Linked DNA regions of Arabidopsis thaliana. The protein of the gene in region 2 interacts with the protein of the main gene of each other region in a pairwise test. Each region holds a gene or a part of one and is shown on either strand. Other genes may lie near its edges.

Region 1 (5,215 bases), on a different chromosome or scaffold from region 2:
TTGCTACTAAGTTCTAATAGCTTTCAGATTTGTATGTATCTCTCTATAGGAAAACTACATGTAAATGTTATTTCTTGATGATTACAGTCAACAGACTTTTTTTCTTCTTGTGTTTGGGGAAACGGAACCAAATTAGAATTTTGGTTTGATCTTTGGTTGTGATTTATATATCATAATCATTATATAAAAGTTAATCTTAATGAACTTTGGTTTATTCAGTTAAATTTTGGTATAATCTTTTCAATCTATTAGGAAAGTTTGTTTAGTGTTGAGTTGATGAAGTTTGGTCCGGTTCAGTTTCCACCAATGTTTGGAAGAAAAAAAAATGCAAGAGCATGAGAGGTCCTACCGGGAGTCGAACCCAGGTCGCTGGATTCAAAGTCCAGAGTGCTAACCACTACACCATAGAACCTCAGGTGCTTGTTCTGTTGCATGTACCAGTTTAGAATCTAATCCAAAATATTGTATTTTAGACACGACCAATGAATAGATTCAACATCAGCAGTTCAGCAGCACCACAGATTGCAGTTTTCTTTGTCTTTATCTAACCAAACAAAACAAAAATCAATATTTTACTTGGTGACAATGCATCATATGAGACCATCAAACTGGTGACAGTGAAATAACAAAGATGAATCTCACAAGACATAAACGTTAAGAAGATTACACTATGTAGCAAAAGAAACAAGGGTGATCTTTTTGCTACTAACAAGTCAGAATCTGAAAATTATGGTAAGAAATCCAGCTTAACAACAGATTGATTCTAGCTATACTCCAAGAACGAACCTATTGCTTCTCCTAAATCCCCAAATTTACTGAGTTTCTACTTCGAGTGAAAACCGTGGCAAATCCGTTGCGATTCTTCTCAGAACTCCCTCGGTTTGATGACATAATTAATGACACTGTTGTTGAGTCCGAAGAAGATGAACAAGGAGGTGAGGTCTTGTTATTGCTGTTCTGGATTGCAAGAAACTCAAGTGATCTTCCATTGATTGTTTTGATGCACTCATGAGGATCTTTTCCTAACAAAGCTTCCTTGTTGTGAACTGACCTTGCAGAACCTGGAATGCTAGCTGTATCGATCAAGAATTCTTCTAGTGTTGCAAGAGATTGTAGCTGTTTCCCAAGTGATGCTATTGTTTTCTGACAATCTGCAAATTTTCCTGCAGCTGTTGCTATGTCTTCCTGCAATAGAATCAGCTTTTAGTGAAACAAGGATTAAGAAAAAGAAAAAAAGACTAATTGGTGATCAGAAAAATAAAAAGCTATACCTGTTTGATCTTTGGTTCCACTTTTTCTCTCTTGATCATTGTCTTCTCTTCTATCTCTCTTCTAAGCTCTTCTTCAAATGTCTCACACTTTTCCTTTAGCCCATCAGAGACAATCCTCTCCTTTCTCACCTCTGCTTCCATTCTGGTCACCCGAGATTCGGCTTGTGTTTTCGATTCATTAGCTAGTTTAAGCTCCCTTTTCATCGCTTCCAACTTCATCTCAACTTCTTGAAAACAAACTCTAGATTCTTGATATTGATCTTTAATTACGTCAAAAGATATCTTTAGCTCAGCTTTCTCAGCTTCCATCTTCTCCAACTCATCTTCCATCTCAATTTTGTCACCAACTACAGCTTCGAGTTCTAAGCTGAATCTCTTCTCTGCTTCTTTACAACAAATAACTTCACTGTCAAGCTCATCCTTTTCTGCTTGTAGCTTCTCCAACTTTGTGTCAACTTCTTGAAAACAAACTCTTGACTCTTGATATTTATCTTTGAGCACGTCAAAAGATGTCTTTAGCTCAGCTTTCTCAGCTTCCACCCTCTTTAACATATCTTCCAACTCCATTTTGTCACCAACAACTGCTTCAATCTCTAAGCTCAATCTCTTTTCCGCTTCTCTACAACATTTAACTTCTCTTTCAAGATCATCCTTTTCTGCTTGTATCTTCTCCAACTTCTCCATTAAGCTCAATTCATATCCATCCTTGGAGTTTTTAGCCTGTGTCTCAGTAGGAAGAGCCACAAGACGTTCCATCTCAAGGAAATCATCCATGAGATCAATTTCAGTTGATGAAGTAGTGCCCTGAAGACTTCTATTGCCGCCTTTTTCATTCTTGATTTGATCTAACTCAGAAATAAATGCTGATGATGCCCATGAATCAGAGCAACTCCCCTCAACTCTCTCCCTTCCTCCATCTGAATGACTATCCACAGATTGATTAGATGATAGCGATGATGATGTTTTAGCCAAAATCCTAAGCTTCCTGCACTCAGCTTCGAGTTTCGCCAACTTCTTTATGATGTCTAAATGCTGCTTACTAGCAGTTTCTGCTGCTTGAGTGCTCAAGTCCCTCTCAATCATCACAATCTCAAGGTCTTCACGCTGTGTAAGAAACTCGCGTCTCAGCATCATGTTTTCAGATTTAGCAGCTTCTGCTTCTTTCTGGAGCTCAAGAACTCGCTTCTCTAGACCAGTGTTAGCAGAATGCAACTCCTTGGTGCTCTCAGTCACAGCTGCTTGAATATTCTTCTCTTGTTCATCTCTAAACTGCCTTAGTTGTCTCACACACTCCTTAAGCGCCCCATCAAGATGACTTACCCTATCTTCCAAGACAATGTTCTTATCAGCCGCATCCTCGAGCTTTTGCTTCAGCTCAACCACTTCATTCTCAGCTTTCTCCCACCCTTGAAAAAAAACCACAAGAGAAAATGCTTTCACTATAAAATGCTAACTCCAGAAGCAGGATCAGAAAAGGAGTGACTAATTACCAGCAACAGCATCTTCTGCAACTTTGGCATGTTGTTTCACTAGCTCATCTTTGGAATCCATAACTGGTTCCAATATCAAAGTAGTACCAGTCATCATCAAATCACAAACTTAAGTACCTTAAGAAGAGAAAAATAAAACAAAACCAAACAATTTTTTAGGAACTTTTGAAAACATATGTATAAAAAAAAAGAGGTAACTTGGCTTATCAGCTTTCCCAGATTTTGCTTTCAGGACACTCTGACAACAAATCTTAAGTACTTAACTATATAATGGACTGGACCACAACATTTCCCAGAAGAACACAAAACTGGTAATGATTTTAGCAATCACTTCATAACATGTCATTAAAAAAGAACTACAACAACATCTTTCTGTTTCGTTTCGTGTAATGAACAATTTGTTACAGAACATTAGAAAAAAGAGTTGAGGAGAAAACAAGATTACCAGACTAGAAAACAGTTGCAATATGATATGATTCTTCAAAACCAAGAATAAATAACATGGCCAAAAAAGCGAGAATTTCTTTCTTTTTGTGGTTGTAATTCTTTACAGTTTTGAAATGTCTTTTTTTTTCAATTTTCAAAAGAGGAAGAGAGGGAGAAGATATCTAACTTTTTCTTCAGCATTTAATGGAAGAATACAAATTTGAAAAACTTTTTCTAGTTCCATGAAATAAGTGGGCTGCTGTAAGATATCTACCACATATTATTTGGTCCAAGCCCATTAGTTTAGATATTTCAAGCCCAATGAGATATATTGCACATTTTATTCATATTTCACATTAACATATTTATTTATCTGAAAAAAGAAAAATACAAATACAAAATGAAAGCCGAACTATGATCAATAATATTAAATTTTTACAAATAATTACCATTAAAATGCAATATATTGTGATGGGTGTTGTTGCTATGTAAGTAACAAAGCAGCGCTAAGTGGATAAATATTGATACAAACTGTAATGAATTAAGTATCGTCTAATAAACTTTTGGAAATGTTGTAAGTTGATAATAGTTCCAAGTATACGTCATTTTCTTTAGTTCAAGACTTTGAAATTTGAATCTCACATGTTGTTGTCACTCATGAATCACGACCTACGTTTATACATATAGACCATACATTATCATTTAATATCAAATTATTGTCGTAAAATCTCATATTTTGTACATATATATACTATAATGTTTTAAATATAATCCCCATGTCGTTTTATACCATTCGCATTTTCGTATATGCTATAGTGTCTATATATACGCAGACCAATGGGGCTTACGTCCTGATCAAGGATTCTTTGTCTTGGTGCTATATTTTTTTTGTGATACTTAAATTTAAGATTTTCTGGATCAATATAAATGGGACTATTTTATGAAAATTTTCATTTAATTTTTCAAAATCTTTTAGGTTAGGTAAAAGAAAATAGGTAGGTGGTCCTCCTCCTAATCTTGAATACGATCATCTATTAAAATGGTCCCGTTTAACCCTACAGCCAACGCTCTCGACAAAAGAAACAAAACAATTACGAAATTCATGCAAAACAACTATTAAAAAAAAATTCACTCACCTATTGATATCAAAGGTCAAAGAAAATTTGTCAAACGGTGGCAAATAATCTTAGATTACCATAATCAACAAAACTACTCGACAAAACATTCAATTACGTACTATTTCTCTTTGAGATTCTTGACTATCCAACTTCGTTTAAACTTGTTTCGAGAGCTAAAAATTACTTTTAAAACAGCTGGTTAAGTTTCGATTTTTCAAAAGAATGCTTTAAAAAGTTTCCAAAATAAAGTAGACAAAAGTCACAAAACAAACAAATGTCTACTCGTCCTTTAATTAACCTAAAAATTAGGTTTTCCTTCGCATCAGTCTTACCACATTGATAAATTCTTATATAATTTTCTTTGGAGGAGTCACATTGCTTTCCTACTTTTGATTGAACTTAGACAAACTAAAGCCACTTTTTTCTTTGAGTTGTCACCTCAAACACAATAAAGTTCAAATATCAAAATCAGTTGCAAATGAATCAACTATTGATTTCAACATTTTAACCAATTTCGTTCGAATCAAAATGAACTTGGTAAAACTTACATACATATGATATGAACAACTCTCCACCATAAACGGATGTGCTATACCTATCTCGATAATTTCTAATATGAATGTATCACAAAAATCTTTAGATTTGGGATTTGGAAATAAACAATGTATAGAAAAGAGACAACTATAAGACAATGTGAATGGGGCAATGCTTTGGGGTCCATTTTTTATGCTCAAATGTTTCCCACTATTGTGAACAACCTAACATGGACTCTTCTTCTTGCATTATAACTTGTACTACTCTCTTTTTTTCTTTAGGAAATAATAAAAAGGAAATTAAGGTGAGCACTAAAAGTCATAGAAAAAATTTCAAGAATCCCATGCAAAATATATTAAAGCAACTCACTTTTCTA
Region 2 (4,443 bases):
CCCGTGGTCCAACCCGGTTGACCCGATGACCCGGTGACCAAGAAGGTAGTCCGGTTCATCATCCGGGTCGGGTTTCAAAACTTTACTGGAGAAAATCAACGGCTAAAAAAAAATCAATTGAATGGCTAAGATTAGAAGTTATGACCCGTTATTTTAAAATTCGGGTCAAAAGGATCCGCGTCTTTTTAAACGGGTTTTTCATGATAGAAAAATTTTAACTCAATGACAAACTTGTTATTTCTGCGAAATGCCCACCTCATTAAATGTACGTTTCAAATAATAGAGTAGATTATATTTAATGATGGGCCAAAAATAAATTTTGTTTTAGGGAAGAATTTATCTTGGGCCGGCTCTGTTGAAGGGTGTCCAAGTATTGGCAAATCTTCGTCGTTGATGTAAGAAAAACAGTTATCACCACCAACAGAAAATAGAAAACATATAAGAAACGAAGACGATCCTCTTTAAATAATTTAACCTTAGCGTGACAATCTTTAATATGTATCACACTTAAATTAGACAAGCCGGTATATTATCTCAAAGACTAAACATTGTACAAGAAAAAGGTCTAAAATTAATCTCAACGAATGAAACCATTCTTTTAAGTACAAAATCTGAAAATTGCGAGTTCGATAAATTTATGTTTATACACCTCGGAGATAATGAGGATTTGTAACATGGTTCCGATACAACAAACCCCTCAAAAGAGACCCAAAGGGTCACAAGAAGGGAGATGGATTTACAACGATGTGCTTTAAGGGATGTGCAACGTCACCACCACCAGCATGCTTAACGAATTCTGCCGGTGAGAGGAAGCTTCCATGACACACACAGACAATCCTCACCTCCTCACCTTTGCGGTACCGATACAGAAACCCATTAATCTTTTTCCCGTTCGGTCCATCGCCTGTTGTTGACACGAATGGCATGTCCTCTATAATGTTTTGGCTCGCTTCTTTGCCCAAATTCTCGGGCTGAGATTGGGCACTTGAAGGGCTTGTTTCCACGGACTTGTTCGTTGTTGCTTCAAACACAAGTAAGTATTTCAGTAAAACACTAAACAAAAGACAACAAAAACTTTGCAAAGCCTAGAAGATATACAATGTTTGCTTTCGAATATTATCGATAATCCCTTGATACATTGTGCATTTTTGAACATACTTTTTCCCTTGGAATGGAAACACAAACAATGTAGTAACTACAACGCACCAAACTTTGTTTCTTTCCACTAACAATACCTAAAATGGCCAAAAATCGAACTCTAAGACACCTAAAAGATACCTAGTGAAAGACACGAAATAAAACGAAAAGCCAAAGACTCAAAAACGCTAACAACACAACAAACCAATCACAATGCCACACAATGAATCCATCCTAAGGGAATCTAATAATCGTAAAATGATATGTTGATATCACTACATCCAAAAGAAGATTCAATGTCGTGTACCCTAATCAATAATCAAAGATCTAAACAAGCAAAACTCAATCTTGAAGATTTAAAAAAAAAAAATCATCTCTTAATCCAAATTCAACAAACTCATGAAAGATCACAAAAACTATGGTAATGTACCTTGAACAGGAGGAAGAAGAGTATCAACTTCAGACAAACCAGAGGAACCACTACCAGAAGAACCAATAGATCCTTCTTCCACAACCTTCTCTTCACCACCACAAGCTTTATGTTTCCTCTGCTTCTCTGATCTCTTTCTCTTAGCCTCAAGCCTCCTCAAACTCTGCAACTCCTTCCTCTTCCTCCACTCTTCCTCCGTCTCCACGGGTAACGAACAAGTCCTACTCAGCCCTGACCTATCGTTGACCACCAAATCAAGAACCGACGTAGACCTCATAAGCCTTGTTTTCGCAAGTGGGTCAACACCAAATCTTCCATTTAGAGATAGACCTAAGTCTAACTCAATCTCTACCTCTCCATCTTCTTCAGACAATCTCTGTTTCTTCGACATGAGCCTGCAACATAATAACTTCGGTCGGAGAATATTAATTCCGGTTAAATTAGAGATCTCTCTTTTTCTCAACTTAGATTTTAGATTAGAAATTTTAACAGATTCTTGATGATAAAGAGCAATTCAAATCCCAAGAAAACAGCAAAATATCAAATTTTGGAAGATTCCATTTCTTCGATTAATGACGACCTTCCCTTTTTATAAATTCAATAAAAAAAAGTTTAATAAAGAAATAAAAAAAAATCCCACAAAATTTCAACATTTACCGAAAAAATCTCCGACAAATCTCGAACGAACACTCAAAAAGAAATTAAGAGCCCAAAGAGAATTTAGATGGAAAAAGAGAAGAGAAAAATCAATCAAACAAAAAGCTGTTTTGTCTAATTTGCGGAAGCCAAAATACCGAAAGTACCCTTGTTTGGTGCATTAACGACACGTGGAATCATGGAAGACTCTGACCCAAGGACTTTGAGCACCCACGTGGTTTTCATCGAGAAAACAAAGACAAGATCGTACACGTGTCTTATGTTCAGTGGTTATTACGTTGTAAGGTGGGATGTTGCAGCGTCAGGTCGTCACGTGTCTTTGTTTTTGTTTTTTAATTTAAATCACATTATCTTTTTTGTGCTACCACGTGTTCCGCTTATCTTCTCTTTTTTTCTCTTGGTAATTGACACGTGGAGATTTGTTAGGTTATGTAACCTGCCTGTCGCTTTAGTAGTTTCATTTCGCTTTGGTAGGAGATTTAGTTTTCTATGATAGTAAACGCAACTTGTCGAACTTTAAATGTATTTAAATTGAAAAGTATGCAAAACGAATATTTGACATTTAAGTGTATTTTTCAATGATTTAATTGTCAACAATTAAGTGATTAGAATAAGATTTCTATTTTGTTAGTGCGATGGTTGGTTAATATTTTTATTTGTATAGAATAAACATGAGTAAAGACAATTAATTTTCTTTTTCAATGTAATGACCATGTTAGCAATACTTTGACCGTGGGTTTCAATATCTTAGATCATAGTGTTTTAACAATAAAATTTTATGAAACATTTGTAACTTGTAAAAAAATAGAGTCGTAAGGTTAAAAATACTTTTTAATAATTTTTTATAATACTAATTAGTACCACTTTTAAATTAGTCATATACCATACAAAATAAAATAAAATCGCTGACATAAATTTTTTGTATATTTTTGAAAAATAAACAAAGAAATTAAATTATACGTGTTTCTAAATTGTTACTAACTATCATAATTGCTTTTTAAAAACTATCATAAACTTAAAACTTCTGCAGTCATATTTATAAATATAAATATCTAAAAATTTTATATACGTTTATAGAAGAGTGGTTTGCGTTATAGTTTTTACAAATTAAATAAAATCATATATCAGCTTAGATAATAATTATCTTTAAAATTATTAGTTACATCAAATTTTAGTTTATGAATTTTTTTTGTTTTAAGTTTATTTTTTTAAAAAGTTATTCTTAAATTTTAATGAGGCTATTTTAGTATTTTTATATATTAAAAATTAATTGTTTAAAAAGGAAGAAAGAATAGGGTATTTTTCAAATGAAAACTCAAAAATAGGGCATTTTTCCAAATTTACTCTTTATAAAAAGTGGTTAAAGTTTAAATTTTAGAATTAATGAAATTATATGTTGTTATGAGTTTATAAAAAAGGGCATATGATTCAGATTTTACAATTAATTCTTAATTTATTTATTTTATTTGTTTGTCTAACTTTTAATTTATATTAAATTATTATATGCCATGGCATAATGATTGGTTAAAACTAAAGGAAGTGAATATAAGAGTTCATGAAATAAATAGCAAATAGAGCAAAATATTTTTGATAATTTATCCACAAGATTATTATTATTATTATTATTATTGTAAGTAAATTGTTTTATGATATGTCTTTCCAAATTGGTAACAATTATCCAAATTTAAAAGTTTCTGGTCATCATATTTATAAATGCATATATCCATTGCAGTTCAGAAAAAGAAGATATCTATACAGACAACCAAATATCTAAATATCTAAAATTTAAATTATTTGGAACTAATATCATAGGAAGTCAAATAGTTTTGGATATTTTTTTATAACAAGTTTTTATAAAGTATTAATATATCTAGTAGCAATCATATTTTCAATATTTTTTTGTCACACTCTAATTCTTTGCTAGCTTTATCCGTCTATTTGTTAATAAAATTTACATGTTTAGACAATGTCTCTTTTTCTCGGGTTAGAAATATATATTTTATAAGTGTTAGTTCAAACTTTGATTTTTTTTTATAATTTCTGGTAAATCTCTGAACCTATGGAAAGGTTCATGATTAATTCCTAGAGAGAGGGTATCCTATATCCTATATATTTGATATCTTCCGGGTTTTTAAATAGATCTTAAGTAGCATGTCTATACTTATAGTCAAAAAAATAAAAGTAAGCAATTCTACATATGGAGAGAATCGATCCCTGAC

Evidence for each region.
Region 1: the proteins of AFP3 (region 2) and AT1G21810 interact in a two-hybrid assay, tested with the Arabidopsis thaliana proteins (one large-scale study listed by BioGRID).

The regions. Positions count from the first base shown.
Region 1 is NC_003070.9:7,655,780-7,660,994, forward strand, and holds AT1G21810 (filament-like protein (DUF869)), read right to left. Parts: upstream 3,389-5,215; 5' UTR 2,859-3,388; coding exon 2,762-2,858; exon of another isoform or gene 2,678-2,761; coding exon 1,272-2,677; intron 1,186-1,271; coding exon 799-1,185; 3' UTR 540-798; downstream 1-539. UniProt on the Arabidopsis thaliana protein: Ensures, when in complex with FPP3/VETH1 and COG2, the correct secondary cell wall (SCW) deposition pattern by recruiting exocyst components to cortical microtubules in xylem cells during secondary cell wall deposition by recruiting EXO70A1.
Region 2 is NC_003074.8:11,381,700-11,386,142, forward strand, and holds AFP3 (ABI five binding protein 3), read right to left. Parts: upstream 2,447-4,443; 5' UTR 1,959-2,446; coding exon 1,568-1,958; intron 1,022-1,567; coding exon 717-1,021; 3' UTR 515-716; downstream 1-514. UniProt on the Arabidopsis thaliana protein: Acts as a negative regulator of abscisic acid (ABA) response and stress responses.